Xenopus tropicalis: one gene and its partners. The protein of the gene in region 3 purifies or fractionates together with the protein of the main gene of each other region. This does not show direct contact. Links are inferred from orthologs where the notes say so. Each region holds a gene or a part of one and is shown on either strand. Other genes may lie near its edges.

Region 1 (7,881 bases), on a different chromosome or scaffold from region 3:
CAGGGATATGAACCTTCAGGTTATACACACTTCTTCAGGCCTCTGCTTATTCTTTTTATGGGCTCTAATCGATCTGCATAATTTAGTTGTTAAAATAGTAGATCTTCAGGTTTATACTGATATAGAGTTTGACTAAGACAAAGCATATGTAATATCCACAATCATTTCAGCTGTCAAATAGATCAGCTGCACTTTTCTGACCTTCATAACACTGAATATATATGCATGGGGACAGGATACAGCTGTACAGGCTATTTTATTACCATGATTTTATCTGCTTCAGTGGACTTCTTATGTCTACAGCCCAAGGCTTGTCTGCCCTGGTTTTTTGAAGTAGACTCTTCAAGTTTGCGTTCATCCCTAAACTTAATGAGGCTGTGTTAACCTTTAAATGAAATAGTATGATTTAATCCAGGGATCCCCAACCTTTTATACCCGTGAGCCACATTCAAATGGAAACATTTTTGGAGAGCAAAACAAGCATGAAAAATGTTCATAGACGTGCCAGTTGAGACCTATAGTTTGATAGCCCATATGTTCACTGGCAGCCTACAAAAGGTTCGGTTTGGCAATTACACTGGGTTTTTATGCAATCAAAGCTTTCCCCCTAATCAGAAATTCAAAAATAATTACCTACTTTGAGGCCGCTGGGAGCAATGTCCAAGGCAAGGGGTTGGTGAGCAACATTTTGCTCATGAGCCACTGGTTGGGAATCACTGAAACAGTGACATGCTTTTTATTCAGCAGCTCTCTAGTTTCAGCAAATCTTTCAGGGGCTGTGTGGGTTGTGCAGCGTTTTTAGGCGGAGAAAATATGCAGCGTAAAAACGCCACGTCTGGCATCAGCTTAAGGTCCAATTTAATCTAACCTCTAGGTGATCTGAATGAGAAGAATGGAAAATGAATCAAAAAGGGTCTGGATAGAAAGATTAGTGATTAAAAGTAAAAATAAAACGTACCTTCATTGAGCATCATTTTTTCCACTGCAGTAACGAGGCACAAGAGGAAAGCAAATAATTAAACAAAGTTGTAAGAAAAATAAAGACCAATTTAAGAACTGCTAGGATTAGACCATTCTGTAACATACTTAACGTTAAGTGTGAACTAACCCTTTAAAGAAAGCAATTTTGGGTACCTGAAGTCAGCAGGCAAAAATGTACCGACTCCACCTATTATATTTAAATTGTAATGAAAAACAAACAATGTTACACTGTCCTATTTCACAGATAAGTCATAATATAGTACTTCTCTGCTGTAAAGAATAAAGCCCAGTGCATAGTTGTTTCACTAGTGTGAAGTCCAGCTGAGCTGCTATTTTTTTTTTCTTTTGTTTAAACTTTTTAGGTTTAAGAAATGTTTATAGTTTCTTAAATAAATAAAAGGAAAAGCCACAATGTTGTGGCTTAGTTATAGATTTAGACCCAAAGTTGAACAGTATCCTCCTTTATCTTGGGAGTGACAGGCTTGGATGGCCAATAGGATAAATTGCCAGCACACACTGGCCTCTCAAGATAATAAAGCCTTGTGCACAGTGTGGAGGGACAGCACCCCCCTGGTACATACAGTGACAAAATAACACCAATGCTCCTACAGTCTGTCTGAGGTATGAACAGGTGAACAATGTGGGTGCTTACAGTCTGAGCCTGAGATGCAGGGAAAAAAGGTGTGAACAACATGGGGGATTACAGGTGTAAACAATACCAGAGTTTGGGGGTGCCAGTTGGACAGCACTGATATGAGCAATACAATGTAACTAAGAATAAAATTGTAGCCGCACAGACCAATAGTTGTTTGTCTTCGGGGGGTCTGTGATCCAAACATCTAAAAGACTGAAAGAGGCAGAAAAAAGGCAAACCAAAAAAAAAAAAGTGAAGACCAATTGAAAGGTTGGTAAGATCAGGGAATTCCATAGCATACTTAGTTAACCTTAAGTTGTATCTCTTCAAATAAAGTATTTGCTTGTAATCTTTTGCATTACTATAGTCTCTATTTTGGTGTCGAGAGAATGCTTTGTAATCCAGGTCCAATATTCTTCTGTCCATTATTTTATCCACCAGTACCTTTATGCACGGAGGCTTACACAAAGGCTGTTCAGTTAATAAATCTATTTCATATACTTATATACATATTATTACAATAACAAAAAAATTGTCCTTGTTTTTAGTAACAAGTTTAGGATACTTAAATAGAAACCTATGACCACAATATTTAACACATCACAAAACATTAAAACACAGTTAATGTGTTTTGTAATTGTGCCTATATTTTGCAGATAAATAGTAAAATAGATGTAGCAAACTTCATAAAGGAAGGTACTTTTCCGTTAAACGCTGTGTGCGCCTGATAGTGAGATCAGCAGACATGCAATTTAAGTTTTGATGAGATTTCAGGGAACGGTTGGAATCTAGTTTCAAGATATTTCTTAGAAACACTGAGTTCTGTGGTATTTTTCAGCTGTACATTTAATGCAAGCCTTGTGACTGTGGTTCTTTTCAGTGGTAAATGCACCTGCTAAGTATCATGGTACCACAGGATTTAGAATTTCTGGGTTCTAAAGCAAGGTATTTGATACTATCTGAAAAATAAGATTGAGTGAATCATTGTAATAATCATAATAATGCTTGTTCTTGTGTCTGTATGTATACTTAATCACCCATTCTTAGAATACTACAGGCATCACATTATGTACAGTTAGAGCAAAGAGAGACGGGGAGATTAGTCGCAATTTAAAAAAAAAAAAAAAAAACTAGTAGCAGCAGCGCTTCCTTTGTTTTCAAACATTCATGTCTGTGTGCTAAGGAACTGGTGTGGCCAATTAGTGACTCCTTCTAGATTTTTAAAATCGCAGCAACTAATTGGCCTGTTTGTTTTCACCCTTAGGAGCATAGACTTTGTATTCAGTGTATTAATTTTGTATGCAAGATAATCCTCTATCAAGCAAGGCACCTACCTCCGATGTCTGTGGAGTGTGGATGTTTTATGTTTTTGTTCACATGGAGAAAACAGTGATAGAACGCCATACATTGCATTGTATTACTTCCTACTAGATTAGATGAGGCTAATTAACAAAAAAAACCTTACAATTTAGTTTACTAAACATTTGGGCATATTTTATAATGTAGGTGCTAAACTGCACCCAAACAAATTACGTTATGGCAGGATGGGAAAAAAACCGAGCCAGGTGGGTAAAAAATGATTATATGCCTCTCCCACCCTAATAGAACTATTTTTCACAGATGCCGATAGTACTGTGTGCTACCTGCTACCTTTGTATTGGAGAAATATTGCAAAATCATTTTAAGGATTGTTCACAAATTTAATAATTGGTATCTGTTTTTAAGATTTCTCATTTATGATAACTTATGTTTTCTAATTAGAGACGCAACTGTGGTGGGCAAGTCATTGGTCCTTAAAAGATCCACTTTCCGTCGACATCCAAAGGCTGTTGAGTCCTTGACCAAGCTGTGTGTACGGCATGGAACGATACCTAAGAGACAAATATGTAAATTTGAAGAAGGTCAAGATGTCCTAGCAAGATGGTCAGATGGATTGTTTTATCTTGGAACTATCAAAAAGGTAGCATTTGTAGTCATGCTTTTACTTGTCATTTTCTCAAGTCCTTTTTCCTCTCTCACAACAATTGACAATTCTATTGTTTCTGTCGAACAATAGACATTAGACAATATTGCGTTTTTAATGGGTGTAAAAGCACCCCCCAACATAAACAAGAAGGGGTTAGCAAATTAGCCTACATACGTGTGGTTGGGCATGATGCTTGTGAGAACACATGGGTGTAAATTGAGGTTAGCTGGGTGTACATAGGCATAGGAACAAAATCTCTTAGTAATGTTAAAGGGATACTGTAATCAGAAAACATTTTTTTTCAAAAAGCATCAGTTAATAGATTTCAATGCTAGATTTTCAAAAACACAAAGATTTTTTTTATATTTAATATTGAAATTTCACATGGAGCTAGGCATGTTCTTCGTTACCCAGGGTGCCACAACCATGTGACCTGTGCTCTGATAAACTTTGATCTCATTTTACTGCTGAGCTGCAAGTTGGAGTGATACCACCCCCCCTCCCAGCAGCCAATCAGCAGAACAATGGGAAGGCAGCAAGATAGCAGCTCCCAATAGATATCAGAATAGCCCTTAATAGTAAGAAATTCAAGCCCGGATAGGGACTCCTTTTAGGGCTCTGGTACACGGGGAGATTAGTCGCCCGCGGCAAAACTCCCTGCTCGCGGGCGACTAATCTCCCCGAGTTGCCTTCCCTCTGCCATCCCACCGGCGAACATGTAAGTCGCCGGCGGGATGGCAGACGCGGCGAGGCGATTTCGCGCAAATCGCCGAAAAAGCCTCGCGAGTCTTTTTCGGCGATTTGCCGAAATCGCGCCGCCGCGTCTGCCATCCCGCCGGCGACTTACATGTTCGCCGGTGGGATGGCAGAGGGAAGGCAACTCGGGGAGATTAGTCGCCCGCGAGCAGGGAGTTTTGCCGCGGGCGACTAATCTCCCCGTGTACCAGAGCCCTTAGTTACATGGGAGTAGGAGAAACAATAGGTTATCTGAAAGCAGTTCTAATGTGTAGCACTGGCTCTTTCTGAAAGCACAATGCACCGAGATGGCTGCCTACGCACCAATATGACAGCTAAAAAAAGATACATTTGTTGGTTCAAGAATAGCATTTTTAAATGGTAGAGTGAGTTATTTGCTATGTAAACTGTGTATTTTAGTAATAAAAAGTATATCATAAAAATCATGATAGTATCCCTTTAAGTAATGACCATCAGTTTGGATGTGCCTTTGGCGACCCGGAGGCATTAGCCAGCAGTTGGGGATCAACCAGACTGTGATTGCTCTCAGTACAGAAACTGAGAAGGAAAGTTGGATCACCATTTATATAGTGTCAATAAAGGCCATATTTGGTACTCTTGTGCATTCCAGCATGTTAATCTATGCAAAAGCTGCTCTTATGAAGAATAAACATTTAAGGTACTTTATTTACCTGTAAATGGTATAGAATGAAATTATAGATCCGTCTAGTCTTCAGTCAAAACTTACGCTTGTGGTAACTGCATCTTCTTTTTGCTTGCATATTTCAGTTGGTGGAGAAACAAAATAAATCCTCTGTGCCACCTGTCATTGATGTAAATGAAACAGGGCTGTGGAGTCGGTAGATCCGAATCCGAAGTTTCTGATACTTCCGACTCCACGACTTTGACTCCTCTGTTTTTAATATGCTAATGTATTTTATACATCCAGGAAGGGGAAGGGGGGAAGGGGTACTTAAAACACAACTGAACTGATAATAAACTGATAGACAATTTTATCTATACTCCTACTCCTAATGATTTCCCTAGAATCCCATAGTCATGTTTAAAGTTTAAGCTAACATTACAGCTGAATTACAGCATAAAGGAACAGTAACACCAAAAAATAAAAGAGCTTTAAAGTAATAAAAATATAATGCACTGGTAAAACTGGTGTGTTTGCTACAGTAACACTACTATAATTTATATAATAAGCTGCTGTGTAGCCACGGGGGCAGCCATTCAAGCTGGAAAAAAGGAGAAAATGCACAGGTTACATAGCAGATAACAGACAAGTTCTGTAGAATACAATAGTGTTTTATCTGTTATCTGCTATGTGCCTGTGTCTTTTCTCCTTTGAATGGCTGCCCCCATGGCTACACAGCAGCTTACTTATATAAACTATAGTAGGGTTTCTTTTAGGGCTGGGCGATATACCGTTTAATACCGAATACCGGTGTTTTTTTAAAAAACTATATTCATTTTTCAGATACCGCAATACCAGGGTGTCGGGGTACTCACCCGTGTGGCCCGGTCTCGCGCCTCCTTGCGTGCGCGCGTCCCATTGTCCACGGGACATTGCGTATGCGCGTCCAGGTGCTTGTGCGTCAAAGCGCACGTACATGTCAAAGCGCTGCACGTCCGTGACGCGCTGGTGGCGCCGGTTCTGCGCATGCGTGGGGGGTATTTAAAGCTATCAAACGCCTCCTCCTGTGCTATGTTGTCTGCGGCCTTGCCTGGGAAACTAAGCCTGCCTGATTTACCTTACGACTTTCTGTTGCCGATCCTTCGCTTGCCTGACTCTGATTTTCAATACTGCAGTAATTCTCTAATTTATTAGGAAATGGGGTTAACACCTAATCATGCATGGAAAAAAAAAATACCGTCAAATACTGTGACACCGATATAATTTTGAAAAATACCGTGATATAAATTTTTTGTCATACCGCCCAGCTCTAGTTTCTGTGGCAAACACCCCAGCTGTACCAGTGCAGGAATGGCTGCCCCCATGGCTACACAGCAGGGTATTTATATAAACTATAGTAGGGTTTCTGTAGCAAACACCCCAGCTGTACCAGTGCAGGAATGGCTGCCCCCAGGGCTACACAGCGGGGTATTTATATAAACTATAGTAGGGTTTCTGTAGCAAACACCCCAGCTGTACCAGTGCAGGAATGGCTGCCCCCGGGGCTACACAGCAGGGTATTTATATACAGTGGTGTGAAAAACTATTTGCCCTCTTCCTGATTTCTTATTCTTTTGCTTGTTTGTCACACAAAATGTTTCTGATCATCAAACACATTTAACTATTAGTCAAAGATAACACAAGTAAACACAAAATGCAGTTTTTAAATGAGGGTTTTTATTATTTAGGGAGAAAAAAAAATCCAAACCTACATGGCCCTGTGTGAAAAAGTAATTGCCCCCTGAACCTAATAACTGGTTGGGCCACCCTTAGCAGCAATAACTGCAATCAAGCGTTTGCGATAACTTGCAACGAGTCTTTTACAGCGCTCTGGAGGAATTTTGGCCCACTCATCTTTGCAGAATTGTTGTAATTCAGCTTTATTTGAGGGTTTTCTAGCATGAACCGCCTTTTTAAGGTCATGCCACAACATCTCAATAGGATTCAGGTCAGGACTTTGACTAGGCCACTCCAAAGTCTTCATTTTGTTTTTCTTAAGCCATTCAGAGGTGGATTTGCTGGTGTGTTTTGGGTCATTGTCCTGCTGCAGCACCAAAGATCGCTTCAGCTTGAGTTGATGAACAGATGGCCGGACATTCTCCTTCAGGATTTTTTGGTAGACAGTAGAATTCATGGTTCCATCTATCACAGCAAGCCTTCCAGGTCCTGAAGCAGCAAAACAACCCCAGACCATCACACTACCACCACCATATTTTACTGTTGGTATGATGTTCTTTTTCTGAAATGCTGTGTTACTTTTACGCCAGATGTAACGGGACACGCACCTTCCAAAAAGTTCAACTTTTGTCTCGTCGGTCCACAAGGTATTTTCCCAAAAGTCTTGGCAATCATTGAGATGCTTTTTAGCAAAACTGAAACGAGCCTTAATGTTCTTTTTGCTTAAAAGTGGTTTGCGCCTTGGAAATCTGCCACGCAGGCCGTTTTTGGCCAGTCTCTTTCTTATGGTGGAGTCGTGAACACTGACCTTAATTGAGGCAAGTGAGGCCTGCAGTTCTTTAGATGTTGTCCTGGGGTCTTTTGTGGCCTCTCGGATGAGTTGTCTCTGCGCTCTTGGGGTAATTTTGGTCGGCCGGCCACTCCTGGGAAGGTTCACCACTGTTCCATTTTTTTGCCATTTGTGGATAATGGCTCTCACTGTGGTTCGCTGGAGTCCCAAAGCTTTAGAAATGGCTTTATAACCTTTACCAGACTGATAGATCTCAATTACTTTTGTTCTCATTTGTTCCTGAATTTCTTTGGATCTTGGCATGATGTCTAGCTTTTGAGGTGCTTTTGGTCTACTTCTCTGTGTCAGGTAGCTCCAATTTAAGTGATTTCTTGATTGAAACAGGTGTGGCAGTAATCAGGCCTGGGGGTGACTAC
Region 2 (7,506 bases), on a different chromosome or scaffold from region 3:
ACACACACACACAGCATTTGATTGGCTGAACGCGCGTCGTCCCTTTGCGAATACGGTTTTTATTGTTACAAGGTGCATTATGGGAAACAACCCTTTACCTTCTGGCAGAAGTAGCGCAACCCCAGGGGATTCTGGGAAATTCTAACATATTTACAAACAAAGTTCCATGCTAAAAATACAGAGAATAAAAAAAAACAAAAAAATTCTAGCGGATTCATTATTATAAAAATATATTACAAATCTGCGGGATTATTTACAGGCGCGGGAATAGCGGCGACACACGGACGCGTGGGGGGGGCGGGGTCTAGTTCATAAAAATATACGGGGGGGAGGGGCAATCGCAGAACTTTGGTGCTGAATAAACTGATTTTTTATCTGATCAAAATAGAATTTTACCTCTATAAAGGGAGGATCAAAATGGCCGCCGCGGCTGCGGGTTTGAGTCACATGACTGCGACGCCATGGTGATCGTTAGAAAGGGTTAAAGGGCAATTGGGCACATAATGGGGAATATGCCTGTTAACCCTTATCTGACTAAGCCCAAGTCTTGGCTCCGGGGGAAGGGGGGCAGACGCGCAGCAGCTGGGAGTTAAACTCCCCGCAACCCCGGGCAGTTCTGCACAGAGGGGCTTATTCTATAAAGGACAGGCAAAAGTGCATTTCCAAAGGGCCAATCGCTGCTGGGCCTCACGGGATCCTGGGCCTATCAGGCTGGCGGGATTCCCTAACGAACGTTTCCGCACTAACGAAGGCAAACGATGTACAACAACACATTGCAAAGCAGCCGACATGCAAAGCCTCGACGCAGCGCCACTAATTAGCCAGAAGAGCATGGGGGGGGGCATGGCTCTCTCACAGAATGGGGGGCGGGGGGTACGTGGCTCTCTCACAGAATGGGGGGCCGGGGGGTACGTGGCTCTCTCACAGGATGAGGGGCCGGGGGGGTACGTGGCTCTCTCACAGGATGAGGGGCCGGGGGGGTACGTGGCTCTCTCACAGGATGAGGGGCCGGGGGGGTACGTGGCTCTCTCACAGGATGAGGGGCCGGGGGGGTACGTGGCTCTCGCACAGAATGAGGGGCCGGGGGGGGGTACGTGGCTCTCGCACAGAATGGGGGGCCGGGGGGTACGTGGCTCTCTCACAGGATGAGGGGCCGGGGGGGTACGTGGCTCTCTCACAGGATGAGGGGCCGGGGGGGTACGTGGCTCTCTCACAGGATGAGGGGCCGGGGGGGTACGTGGCTCTCGCACAGAATGAGGGGCCGGGGGGGTACGTGGCTCTCTCACAGGATGAGGGGCCGGGGGGTACGTGGCTCTCGCACAGAATGAGGGGCCGGGGGGGTACGTGGCTCTCACACAGAATGAGGGGCCGGGGGGGTACGTGGCTCTCTCACAGAATGAGGGGCCGGGGGGGGTACGTGGCTCTCACACAGAATGAGTGGCCAGGGGGGTTACGTGGCTCTCACACAGGATGAGGGGCCGGGGGGGGTACGTGGCTCTCACACAGAATGAGGGGCAGGGGGGGGATACGTGGCTCTCACACAGAATGGGGAGCCGGGGGGGGGGTACGTGGCTCTCGCACAGAATGGGAAGCCGGGGGGGGGGGGGGTACGTGGCTCTCGCACAGAATGGGGGGCGCGGGGGGTACGTGGCTCTCTCACAGAATGGGGAGCCGGGGGGGTACGTGGCTCTCGCACATAATGGGGGGGCGCAGGGGATACGTGGCTCTCTCACAGAATGGGGGGCCGGGGGGTACGTGGCTCTCTCACAGGATGAGGGGCCGGGGGGGTACGTGGCTCTCTCACAGGATGAGGGGCCGGGGGGTACGTGGCTCTCACACAGAATGAGGGGCCGGGGGGGGTACGTGGCTCTCACACAGAATGGGGAGCCGGGGGGGGGGGGTACATGGCTCTCGCACAGAATGGGGAGCTGGGGGGGTACGTGGCTCTCGCACAGAATGGGGGGTACGTGGCTCTCGCACAGAATGGGGAGCTGGGGGGGTACGTGGCTCTCTCACAGAATGGGGAGCCGGGGGGGTACGTGGCTCTCGCACAGAATGGGGAGCTGGGGGGTACGTGGCTCTCGCACAGAATGGGGAGCTGGGGGGGTACGTGGCTCTCTCACAGGATGAGGGGCCGGGGGGGTACGTGCCTCTCGCACAGAATGGGGGGCCGGGGGGGTACGTGGCTCTCTCACAGAATGGGGAGCCGGGGGGTACGTGCCTCTCGCACAGAATGGGGGGCCGGGGGGTACGTGGCTCTCGCACAGAATGGGGGGCCGGGGGGGTACGTGGCTCTCGCACAGAATGGGGGCCGGGGGGGGGTATTGGGCTCTCGCACAGAATGGGGGGCCGGGGGGTACGTGGCTCTCGCACAGAATGGGGGGCCGGGGGGTACGTGGCTCTCGCACAGAATGGGGGGCCGGGGGGGTACGTGGCTCTCGCACAGAATGGGGGGCCAGGGGGGTACGTGGCTCTCGCACAGAATGGGGGGCCGGGGGGGTACGTGGCTCTCGCACAGAATGGGGGGGTATGTGGCACAGAGCACTCCACAACACTACGACCAATAGGACACTTGCTGGGAGGGGCTCACTAACGTGCACTGCTCCACACGACTGCACAGTGGCGCCTCCAGCTCCTCCCGCTGCGCTCTGCCCGGCCTGAAACACAAGGGAAACACAGTCAGAGCCAAGAATCGCCTCGCTGCACTGCTGCGCGCAGGGGGAGGGGCTTATTCACATGTCCTTTATAACTTACAGGTACCGGAGTGGGTCAGTACCAAGCCTTGGTACTTGGTGCCATTAATATCTAACGATTGGTCACGGCGCCATGTTTGTATAGGGCAGCCCAATAAAGCTAATGAAGCCTAACGAGCCTCGTTACACCTGCACTGGCATTAATTAAACAAACACACAGACTGATAGGGGGCAAACCATTGTGTATTTGGGGGCAATAACAGCTAGTGGGGGGGGGGCTAATATCTAACGATTGGTCACGGCGCCATGTTTGTATAGGGCAGCCCAAAGCTTCCGGATAATTAAGCCTAACGAGCCTCCTTACACCTGCACTAATTAATCAAACACATAATGGGGCAAACATCCCAAATACCCAGCAGCACTTGCAGGGGTGTGGGCGGAGCCCAGCCTGGGGGCGGGACAAGGAATACAAACCAGCGAGGGCGGAGCTAGGGGAGGTGCTCTCTCAGGGTCCCGCTCGGTGGGTTCCGCTTACTAGAATTTCTGCACATAAAAAAGGACAAAACCACGTGAGAAACAAAAGCCCCAGAACCGCTCCGACCCGTTACCATGGCAGCGGCGCCCCCCCCGTACCTGTAGATGTTGGGGTCGAGCAGCAGGGCCGTATCTTTGGGCAGTTGGGATAAATGCACCACTTTGGTCTTGAGTTGGTGCCGGTCGCTCTCATTCACCCACACGTCCGGGAGTCTGAGGGGAGAGACGGAGCCGCTAGAACCGGAACCAGCACCCCGGGCCCAAGCCCCGCCCCCGGTACTTACATGTCCTCCGGGGTCCAGTGCAGCAGCAGTTTGACTTTCCCAGTGTCCTCCTTCCGCTTAGCGATCACCTAGAAACACAGCAAGTTGGCACCTGTAACAGTTCTGCCCCATCTGCCCCCTGGCACCAATGCCCCCCGGGGCTACAGGGGCACTATGGGACCCCCGGGAATGAAGATGCCACTCACCGTGCAAATTGGCACCTGTAACAGTTCTGCCCCATCTGCCCCCTGGCACCAATGCCCCCCGGGGCTACAGGGGCACTATGGGACCCTTGGGAATGAAGATGCCACTCACCGTGCAAACTGGCACCTGTAACAGTTCTGCCCCATCTGCCCCCTGGCACCAATGCCCCCCGGGGCTACAGGGGCACTATGGGACCCCCGGGAATGAAGATGCCACTCACCGTGCAAACTGGCACCTGTAACAGTTCTGCCCCATCTGCCCCCTGGCATCAATGCCCCCCGGGGCTACAGGGGCACTATGGGACCCCCGGGAATGAAGATGCCACTCACCGTGCAAGTTGGCACCTGTAACAGTTGTGCCCCATCTGCCCCCTGGCACCAATGCCCCCCGGGGCTACAGGGGCACTATGGGACCCCCGGGAATGAAGATGCCACTCACCGTGCAAGTTGGCACCTGTAACAGTTCTGCCCCATCTGCCCCCTGGCACCAATGCCCCCCGGGGCTACAGGGGTACTATGGGACCCCCGGGAATGAAGATGCCACTCACCGTGCAAGTTGGCACCTGTAACAGTTCTGCCCCATCTGCCCCCTGGCACCAATGCCCCCCGGGGCTACAGGGGCACTATGGGACCCCCGGGAATGAAGATGCCACTCACCGTGCTGTGGAAGACGACGCTGTGCCCGTTGCCCAGACTCTCTATTTGGGCCGAGAGATTGAAGCAGATGGCGCGATGCCGTATGGCGTCCAGCGTTTGGGCGTCAAAGAAGTCATGTGGTCGGGCTACTGGGCAAAGCGTAACAGGTTAGTGCCAGGGAAGGGGCACACGTGGGCACAGATACAGGGAATGAGCCATAGACACAGAGGGGCAGCTTGGTGCCCACACAGGGACAGCCTGGTACCTTACAGGGCAGGGGCAGCTTGGTGCCCACACAGGGACAGCCCGGTACCTTACAGGGCAGGGGCAGCATGGTGCCCACACAGGGAGAGCCTGGTACCTTACAGGGCAGGGGCAGCTTGGTGCCCACACAGGGAGAGCCTGGTACCTTACAGGGCAGGGGCAGCTTGGTGCCCACACAGGGACAGCCCGGTACCTTACAGGGCAGGGGCAGCTTGGTGCCCACACAGGGAGAGCCCGGTACCTTACAGGGCAGGGGCAGCTTGGTGCCCACACAGGGACAGCCCGGTACCTTACAGGGCAGGGGCAGCTTGGTGCCCACACAGGGACAGCCCGGTACCTTACAGGGCAGGGGCAGCTTGGTGCCCACACAGGGAGAGCCCGGTACCTTACAGGGCAGGGGCAGCTTGGTGCCCAACAGGAGAGGCTGGTACCTTAAGGGCAGGGCAGCTTGGTGCCCACACAGGGAGAGGCTGGTACCTTACAGGGCAGGGGCAGCTTGGTGCCCACACAGGGAGAGGCTGTACCTTACAGGGCAGGGGCAGCTTGGTGCCCACACAGGGACAGCCTGGTACCTTACAGGGCAGGGGCAGCTTGGTGCCCACACAGGGAGAGGCTGGTGCCTTACAGGGGGGGCACAGAAGGTTCCATACCGGGGGGGGGGGGGGGGGGGGGGGGGAGAACACAGAAGGTTCCGTACCAGGGGGGGGGGGGAGAACACATAAGGTTCGTACCAGTGGGGGGAGGAGAACACATAAGGTTCCGTACCAGGGGGGGAGAACACATAAGTTCCATACCAGGGGAGAACACAGCAGGTTCCATACCAGGGGGGGGGGTTGAGAACACATTAAGGTTCCGTTACCAGGGGGGGGGGAGAACACATAAGGTTCCGTACCGGGGGGGGGGGGAGAACACAGAAGGTTCCGTACCAGGGGGGGAGGAGAACACATAAGGTTCCGTACCAGGGGGGGGAGAACACATAAGGTTCCATACCAGGGGGGGGAGAACACAGAAGGTTCCGTACCAGGGGGGGGAAGAACACATAAGGTTCCGTACCAGGGGGGGGAGGAGAACACATAAGGTTCCGTACCAGGGGGGGAAGAACACAGAAGGTTCTGTACCAGGGGGGGCACATTAAGGTTCCGTACCAGGGGGGGGGGAAAGAAACAGAAGGTTCCGTACCAGGGGGGCACATAAGGTTCCGTACCAGGGGGGGAAGAACACAGCAGGTTCCGTACCAGGGGGGGCACATAAGGTTCCGACCAGGGGGGGAAGAACACAGAAGGTTCCGTACCAGGGGGGGGGGAGAACACAGAAGGTTCCGTACCAGGGGGGGGGGAGAACACATAAGGTTCCGTACTGGGGGGGGGGGGGGGGGGGGGAGAACACATAAGGTTCCGTACCAGGGGGGGGAGAACACAGAAGGTTCCGTACCAGGGGGGGGGGGAGAACACAGAAGGTTCCGTACCAGGGGGGGGAGAACACATAAGGTTCCGTACTGGGGGGGGGGGAGAACACATAAGGTTCCGTACCAGGGGGGGGGGAGAACACATAAGGTTCCGTACCAGGGGGGGGGAGAACACAGAAGGTTCCGTACCAGGGGGGGGGGAGAAAAACACATAAGGTTCCGTACCAGGGGGGGAGAACACAGAAGGTTCCGTACCAGGGGGGGCACTTACGGAGGGTGCGTTTCCGCTTGATCTTCAGCTTGCGCTTGCGGTTCAGTCCGGCTTTGGACGGCGACTCCTCCTTGGACTTGGAGTGATTGGCCATCTTGGAGGAGTTCTGTTGGCTGAAGTGAGTGGGCACGTGCCGGGCCAAGCCGCCCTGGGAGGCAAAGCTGGCATTGCAGCCGCCAACGACGCACTGTCAATCAAACAAGACTTTGCCTCAGTACCGAGCCCAGGGTCCCCCCCCACAAACTCACTGTCGGCCCTAAGGTGCCCCAATGTGCAGCTGCTGTGCCCCCCAGTGTGTAGCCCCTCAGCCTGCACTTACCCCCCAATTATAGTGGGACATTTAGCCCCTGGGGCCCCCCCCCCGACACAGACGGTACCTTGGGGCGCTGCTGGGATCTGTGGGTGCAGCACCGCCTGTTCCCCTGTCTCAGCCCCCTTCTCTCTGGCTCCTCCCCCATTATGGATTAGCCCAGTGCAGTGCTGCTGCCCAATAGCAGTAATGGGCTGGGCCTTCCCAGGAAGGAGGAGCTTATACAGGAAGGAGGAGCTTACACATTGCCCGATTGGCCGTTCCCACAATACCTTGAAGGGTTTGTCTCCGCTGTGGGTCAGCATGTGCCTCTGCAGCCAACTCTGACTCGTAGATGGGGTATTATACACCTTGCAGCCCTTCCAGTAGCACACGTACACCTGTAACATACACAGCCGGGGGTTAGTGCCCCGAGCAACACGGCCGGGGGTTAGTGCCCCACCTACACAGGCCCCCCCCCATATGTATAAATACAAATATACAGAGAGGGAATGTTCTGGGCACACAATAAGCTGTACCCCCATACTGTACTGTCTAAGGGAAACACTATGGCACCTCCTACCCATATGTATAAATACAAATATACAGAGAGGGAATGTTCTGGGCACACAATAAGCTGTACCCCCATACTGTACTGTCTAAGGGAAACACTATGGCACCCCCTACCCATATGTATAAATACAAATATACAGAGAGGGAATGTTCTGGGCACACAATAAGCTGTACCCCCATACTGTACTGTCTAAGGGAAACACTATGGCACCCCCTACCCATATGTATAAATACAAATATACAGAGAAGGAATGTTCTGGGCACACAATAAGCTGTACCCCCATACTGTACTGTCTAAGGGAAACACTATGGCACCCCCTACCCATATGTATAAATACAAATATACAGAGAAGGAATGTTCTGGGCACACAATAA
Region 3 (7,881 bases):
CCACTGGCTCCTCTACTGTATACACAGAAGAAAAGAACTGGTTAAGCACATCTGCCTTTTCTGTATCCGCTGTAACCATATTGTTATTATAACTCAATGGGGCCACACCCTCAACCTGGTGTTCTCAAGGGTGATAAATGGCATTTAACTGTGCAGATTTCACAGATGCCAGGAGAACAGTAAAGTTTGGTGGAGGCTTATTAATGATTCAGGGTTGTTTTCCATGGTTTGGGCCTTACTAAAGTTTTTACTAAAAGCAAACCTTAAGGCTAGAGCTTGGGAAAGGCTCACAGGCAACTAACTGTTTTGGGAAGGCTTTTTGCTGTTTCAGAACAAAAAGGCTCTTATTTACATGGGCAGAGGGTATCATAGGTTTGCTGTAATAGGAGTAGAAGAACTTGACTGGCCTGCACAGAGCCCTGACCTCTATCCAACTGAACAGTTGTGCAATGAATTAAAACTGAATCTCATATAAAGAAATCTTCATATAGTCCCCTGGAACAAGTTATCAGCTGAACTAGTTGCGCATCTGTCTCCCCTCTTCTTCATACTAACAGCTTTTCATGCATACAAGATGCAGGTAATAAATACTGATTGTCAAAAAAATCTCACCTTTTTTTAACTGTATCTTTCTGCAGTGAGCTGCCCATAATCTACAGGGGAAAGAAAAGTATATTACAATAGAATCTTACATATTTTTTGTATGAACAACATTTTCCTTTTTTTGCCTTATTTATAACTTGCCCTTCCTTTCAACCTAATTGGAAACAGATCTGTGTTTCTGTGCCACAGTTTACAGTGCCTAATACAGGAAACTGAAGAAATGTATAAAATATATAGCATTATTGCAAAAAAAGTGAAAAATGTTGATCAAAACATATTTTTGTTCATTATTTTCTTATTTTTTTTTATGTACAACACAAGGTGCAAAGTTAGTCATCTAACATTGTTGCATTGCCCCAATTTAATTAAACTGCTATAGATTATAAAATTCTTTAAATACCAAATGTAACAACTGCATTTCTTTCATGATCACAAACAGGACACTGACTTAAAGTGGACCTGTCACCCAGACATAAAAAGCTGTATAATAAAAGCCCTTTCAAATTAAACAAGAAACCCCAAATCATTTTTTTATTAACACATCCAAACCCATTATAAAAGCATTTAAAAATCCCAGCTGTCAATCATATATTGCCTGCCCCGCCTCTATGCCTTAGGCATAGAGGTGGGGCAGAGAGATACTTTCACTTTCAATTCAGAACTTCTTAGATGTTGCTGCCCTCCTCACATTCCCCCTCCCTCCGCACCATTTAATTGTGTAACCAGTGCATGGATATGGGCATCAGGTCCCCCATACTGGCACAGAAACAAGATTTTGGCAGGATTGCAACAGTGATTGATAACAGTGTCCACAAAATGGAGCCTGCCTGCTTACTGCAATTGTGAATTCCAAGGCTGAAGAAAATATGATTAAAATAATTTATATAGTGTAAGTAAAGTTTATTTTGCTTGACAAACACAATAGAAAACAATATGGAATTATTTCTTAAGGTGACAGGTCCCCTTTCAGTTTTACAAAACTTTACAATTTTAACACCTTAGCTGTACCTGTGCTTCCGTTTCTTTTTTTGTGCAGTGCTCATTAGTTCCTTTGCTGGCACTTTTAAGAGCAAGGAATCTGTCACAGCAAACTGGAAAACCTTTGACAAAACCCAATAAGAATGAATTAGAAATCAAGCTATCTACATACTTCTAGTATGTTATCCGGAAGATTTCATTTTACGCAGTTTGTTTAAATAAGAGAAGTGATTTTGCGTTTATTGTATCAATTACAATATTTCAAGGGACGTATCGCCCTACCTGATGAAGGGGTATGCCCAGAAATTTTGTAAATTAGTGATCCCCAACCCAAACAATGTTGCTCCCAGTGGCCCCAAAGTAGGAGCACAATTTTTAAATTTGTGGCTTGGAAGCACAGTGACACAGTTTTACTTGAAGCAGAGCCTCCTGCAAGCTAGCAATTGGACACAGAGCTATCAAATAGACCAAATAGCCAATAACAGCCCTTATTGCAAACACTTTTTTCATTTGAGTGTGGTTCACAAGTAAAAGATGTTGGAGATCCCTGTGTAAATGATACAATAAATGAAAAGGATACAATAAATGAAAATGATCTAAGAATTGCACTTATATTGCCCTTTCTCTGAACTATTACAATATACAATATACTATGCATTTTTAGGCAAGAGAAGCACAGAACCTATTGTGCAATGTGTCTAGATTCTTAGAGTGTCTTCTTATCTAACCAATTCAAATAACAAGAGCCAATCAGCACTGACAACCTCAGCCATAGCTAAAATATTTGATCAAAAGCTTTTGTTTGCAGAATATTCATAGAATATTGTTTGCAGAATAATTGGCAGAATATTCACTATTATTCATTTCCTAGACTCAGCTATATCATAGGAGTATAGTATAACTAACTTTAAATAAGTTGTTGCAGATCATTTGCACCCAGAGCAATAATTCCCACCAACCTGCTTGCATGTCTTGGTGCCCATTAGACGAGCAATGGAACAGAAATTGTTGAAGTAAGTTCCATGGAAGACCCTAAAGAGTGACTCCTCAGCTCCAGACCATTCCACTGGCTCACTGGGTTCAGACACATCTGGAAGCTCCCCACTTAGGCTTCCCTGCCTTTGTTTGGTAGGGGTTTGGCTCCGTGAATTTGCTTCTGCAATATCAGGAAAACCCATTTTTAAAAGGTGACTTCCCTTTTCTTCCTGTGTTTCCTTTTCTCTTTACCACATTCTACATCTACTATTTTGATATTGGCACAATATACTCTACTAATTAGACACAAACAAGACTTTGCATTCATAATTTTTTTACTTAAAGTCCTGTACATGTTACACTGGTCTTTATTTTGGGTTAAGCTTTCTGAAAACCTCATGAGAGTGGTTCTCTTCCATCACCTGAAGAGCTAGAAGCACAGTCATTGCCAGTGTCTCGATCACTGTCCCCCTCTTTAGTCTCCATTACATTAGAGTTTGAGCCAGAGGCAGCAAGGGCTGTGGTTTTCCGGCGACGCCTTCCCAAGCATTTGGATCTGGGATTGTTCATCATAGCATATTCTTTTGCTCCTTCCTGGACATGAATAATAAGGATGAACGGAAAAATGAAGCAACAGTTTGTAGCCTTTGGTAGAACCCACTGGTATACACATTATTTACAGAATGAGCAGACAATGCGTGTATGGGTTAAGGAAACAAGTTTTCAAATAACCAACTTTCTGCCATGTGTTTTATAAAACTTTCTCATGCATATCTAAAGGTGCTGGGATTTATATTTACAAATGTTAAGTAGTTATAGCATTTCTAGCCAATGGCTAAAGGGGATCCAGGAAGCAGAAAGAGCAGACAGAGCAACCCTACAGAGCCATGGGCCACAGGTGGCCCCCTGAATTGCCTATATTTTGACCTACTGCACCATTCAGATATAATTTTTAACCAATACATTAAACAATTTTACCAAAATCTATACAAATAATTTATTTTACCAATAAACATAAAAGAGTCCTATAAATTGATATCACTGTTTGAATGGTCAACCTACCAGCCACAAGAAGCAATGAATTCCACAGGGCTCAGTTTCAATCTTTATTTCTCGATTCCTTCTCCTGTATACATTAGGACTTGCGTGGAATGCTGCAACAAAATATATATATTATTATATATATTATAATATATCTATACAGTAAGTGAAATCAAACAAAAAAAAAAAAAACAATGTAGAAAGAAGTTATTAAACACAAAAATGGCAATAAAACAGATTCATTTAATAGAAGAGGTTGTAGTAGTCACATATACATTTAAATCCACACTCTCTTGTGCAGTAGTTATGCAGTGCCCTTAGCACATTTTACTACACAGCAAGGACTGCAGTGGTAAGTTCCCCTTTATCAATGTTACATTCTGCTCAAGCTTAGTTGATGCTACATAGGGTCTTGTACATTCACAAATGTTACTTTTGTTCAACTTACGGTGTAGAAAGCAGTCATACTTAAAACAGCGGCGACAGAATAGGGTGTGGAAGGAGTGAAGAGACTGCTCCCTTTGCACAGATTTGGCACATGGTCCATCAATGTTAGGAGTACACTGGGGAGGCAATGCATTGGGATCATAGGCTTCTGTCAGTTCTTTGTACCTTGGTAAGAAAAAGTAAAAGGAACATGTGCATAGTTTTCTAGAGAAACAAAGTACAAAGAACTATGTTTTGAGCAAAGCACCTCTCTTAGCATGTCATTGTTTGTCTTTGTTACAGAAGCCTTATAAACCATGTAATGTTCTTTACATCCAAAGAATACAGAATCAAGGAAACACCAGCTACATAATTTGGACTGGTCATGTTGGTATTCAAATGTTAGTCTAAAACCAACATGGCACTGTTTCCAATAACCAGAACAGTTATGGATATTTAAATATTCGAGTCTAAGGGGGGAACTGGCAGCACTGAGGGCAGCTGCAAGCATGGGGGAGAACAGGAGGCTCACTGAGCAACCACTGGCAGGGGCCGGTGTAGTGGGGGGGGGGAAAGGGACAGTGGAGGTTAATGAGGGAGACAAATTTGTAACAGTTAAGAGGGGAAGTAGGGGACACAAGGGTAGGGGGGCTGGTTCAAAGCTTGTACAAACCAACAGATTTGCCGCGTTAGGTGAAGATGCTGGGGAAGGCAGCTCTGAGCTGGCATGTATGGAGCAGGCTGACTCTCAGAGCACCCTGGGAGCCGGCACCTCTAATACAGGTGGGGGGAGTAGTGCTAGGAAGGGAAGGCAGGTTATAGTTGTAGGGGATTCAATTATTAGAAAGGTGGATAGGGTAATTTGTCGCAAAGACCCTACATGCCGAACTGTGTGTTGCTTGCCTGGTGCTAGGGTTCGGCATGTGGTGGAACGAGTGGACAAATTGTTGGGAGGGGCTGGGGAAGACCCGGCGGTCTTGGTACACATAGGTACCAATGACAAAGTTAGAGGAGGGGGGGAAGTCCTCAAGAACGATTTTAAAAAGCTAGGTGCAAAGTTGAGGGCGAGGACTTCCAAGGTAATTTTCTCAGAGATATTACCTGTGCCACGAGCAACATTAAGAAGGCAGCGGGAGCTCAGGGAGATTAATGCGTGGCTGAGAGATTGGTGCAGGGAGGAGGGCTTTGGGTTTCTCCAGAACTGGGCTGATTTCTCAATCGGCTACAGGCTCTTTGCCAGGGATGGGCTGCACCTCAATGATGATGGGGCAGCTGCTTTGGGGGAAAAGATGGCTAGAGGGTTGGAGGAGATTTTAAACTAGGAGTGGGGGGGGAGGGTGCAGCGGGAAATTCTGTGGTAGACAGGATAGATGAGGTAGTGGGCACAGTAAGGGAAATTGGGGGAGGAGACTTGCTTCAGGATACTGATAATGGCAGGGAGGCCCATAAGTTGTTTACACGTTTACACGTTTACACGCCGGAACCAGTATTAAATGTATGTTTACCAATGCAAGGAGTCTGACTGGTAAAATGGGAGAGCTGGAGGTACTGGCGTTGGAGCGGAAATATGATGTGATTGGTGTTGCTGAAACTTGGTTGAATGAGTCTCATGACTGGGCAGTTAATATTGGGGGGTATACATTGTTTCGGAGGGACAGGGGCAATAGAAAAGGAGGAGGAGTGTGTCTGTTCATTAAGCACGACTTAAAAGCAAATATTAAGGAGGAAGTTATGGGGGGAACAGAGGGAGCTGAATCCTTATGGGTTGAGCTTCTCACAGATAGTAAAGAATCTACCAAACTAATTGTAGGGGTATGCTATAGACCCCCTAATGTAAGCGAAGAGGAGGAGGCCCAGCTCCTGTTGCAAATAGAAAAGGCTGCTAGTTTGGGGCAAGTGATTATAATGGGGGATTTTAATTACCCTGATATTGACTGGGGCAATAGTACTGCCAGGACAGTAAATGGGAACAAGTTTATAAACATGCTGCACGACAATTTTATGTCACAGGTTGTTGAGGAGCCAACCAGGAACCATGCTATACTAGATCTAGTGATCTCTAATGACCCAGAACGTATAGCAAATGTGCAAGTGGTTGAACCCCTGGGTAATAGTGACCATAATGTTATTTCATTTGATGTTTGGTGCAGGAAACAAATTTACACGGGGGCAACAAAGACACTGAATTTTAGGAAGGCAAATTTTAGCTCCTTAAGGGCAGCGCTTCAGGGCATAGATTGGGGCATTATATTTTCTGATAAAAATACAGAGCAGAAATGGTTGTCATTTAAAATGATATTAAATCATTACTGTTCTCAATTCATTCCATTAATAAGAAAAAGTAGAAGTGTTAAGAATCACCCTATGTGGCTTAACTCTGAGGTAAAGAAGTTAATAGGGAAAAGGAAAGCTTTTAAGAAATATAAGTCAGAGGGGACAGTAGCTGCGCTTAATGAATATAAACACTATAACAAGTGTTGTAAAACAGCAATCCGGAAGGCAAAGATAGAAAATGAGGAGCGCATCGCGGCCGAGGCCAAGACTAACCCCAAAAAGTTTTTTAAGTATATTAATAGTAAAAAGATGCAGGTTGAGGGTGTGGCCCCATTGAGTTATAATAACAATATGGTTACAGCGGATACAGAAAAGGCAGATGTGCTTAACCAGTTCTTTTCTTCTGTGTATACAGTAGAGGAGCCAGTGGGCCAAGTCCCACCCAATAGCTTCACTGTTGCCTCAGCTCCAACTACACAGTGGTTGGCACAGGATATGGTGCTTAAAGGGTTACACACGATAAATGTAAACAACATAATGTTATTTCATTTGATGTTTGGTGCAGGAAACAAATTTACACGGGGGCAACAAAGACACTGAATTTTAGGAAGGCAAATTTTAGCTCCTTAAGGGCAGCGCTTCAGGGCATAGATTGGGGCATTATATTTTCTGATAAAAATACAGAGCAGAAATGGTTGTCATTTAAAATGATATTAAATCATTACTGTTCTCAATTCATTCCATTAATAAGAAAAAGTAGAAGTGTTAAGAATCACCCTATGTGGCTTAACTCTGAGGTAAAGAAGTTAATAGGGGAAAAAAGGAAAGCTTTTAAGAAATATAAGTCAGAGGGGACAGTAGCTGCGCTTAATGAATATAAACACTATAACAAGTGTTTAAAACAGCAATCCGGAAGGCAAAGATAGAAAATGAGGAGCGCATCGCGGCCGAGGCCAAGACTAACCCCAAAAAGTTTTTTAAGTATATTAATAGTAAAAAGATGCAGGTTGAGGGTGTGGCCCCATTGAGTTATAATAACAATATGGTTACAGCGGATACAGAAAAGGCAGATGTGCTTAACCAGTTCTTTTCTTCTGTGTATACAGTAGAGGAGCCAGTGGGCCAAGTCCCACCCAATAGCTTCACTGTTGCCTCAGCTCCAACTACACAGTGGTTGGCACAGGATATGGTGCTTAAAGGGTTACACACGATAAATGTAAACAAGGCACCGGGGCCAGATGGAATACACCCTCGGGTACTGAGAGAGCTAGGGGCAGAATTGCAGTGGCCCTTGTTTCTGATATTCTCAGACTCGCTCTCATCAGGTATGGTACCTAGGGATTGGAAGAAGGCGAATGTCACTCCCATATTTAAAAAGGGAGTAAGATCTCAGCCTGGCAATTATAGGCCTGTAAGTTTGACATCCGTGGTGGGCAAGTTATTTGAAGGCTTGTTAAGGGATCACATTCAAAATTATGTAGTGGAGAATGGCATTATGAGCAGTAATCAGCATGGCTTTATGAAGGACAGGTCATGTCAGACCAATTTCATTGCTTTTTATGATGAGGTAAGTAAGAAGCTGGA

Evidence for each region. Proteins that work in one complex are often made in the same cells at the same time.
Region 1: the proteins of ezh1 (region 3) and mtf2 purify together in Homo sapiens (affinity purification with mass spectrometry; 3 studies listed by BioGRID and IntAct, with this or other methods). This does not show direct contact. The link is inferred for Xenopus tropicalis from reciprocal best matches to the Homo sapiens genes EZH1 and MTF2.
Region 2: the proteins of ezh1 (region 3) and aebp2 purify together in Homo sapiens (affinity purification with mass spectrometry; 3 studies listed by BioGRID and IntAct, with this or other methods). This does not show direct contact. The link is inferred for Xenopus tropicalis from reciprocal best matches to the Homo sapiens genes EZH1 and AEBP2.

The regions. Positions count from the first base shown.
Region 1 is NC_030680.2:104,216,884-104,224,764, reverse strand, and holds part of mtf2 (metal-response element-binding transcription factor 2), read left to right. Parts: intron 1-3,376; coding exon 3,377-3,575; intron 3,576-7,881. UniProt on the Homo sapiens protein: Polycomb group (PcG) protein that specifically binds histone H3 trimethylated at 'Lys-36' (H3K36me3) and recruits the PRC2 complex, thus enhancing PRC2 H3K27me3 methylation activity.
Region 2 is NC_030679.2:760,453-767,958, reverse strand, and holds the end of aebp2 (zinc finger protein AEBP2), read right to left. Parts: intron 6,960-7,506; coding exon 6,852-6,959; intron 6,457-6,851; coding exon 6,270-6,456; intron 4,476-6,269; coding exon 4,351-4,475; intron 3,580-4,350; coding exon 3,512-3,579; intron 3,441-3,511; coding exon 3,327-3,440; intron 3,237-3,326; coding exon 3,182-3,236; 3' UTR 3,168-3,181; intron 2,658-3,167; 3' UTR 2,487-2,657; downstream 1-2,486. UniProt on the Homo sapiens protein: Acts as an accessory subunit for the core Polycomb repressive complex 2 (PRC2), which mediates histone H3K27 (H3K27me3) trimethylation on chromatin leading to transcriptional repression of the affected target gene.
Region 3 is NC_030686.2:22,246,067-22,253,947, reverse strand, and holds part of ezh1 (histone-lysine N-methyltransferase EZH1), read right to left. Parts: intron 4,210-7,881; coding exon 4,046-4,209; intron 3,711-4,045; coding exon 3,619-3,710; intron 3,151-3,618; coding exon 2,979-3,150; intron 2,738-2,978; coding exon 2,541-2,737; intron 1,704-2,540; coding exon 1,612-1,703; intron 654-1,611; coding exon 613-653; intron 1-612.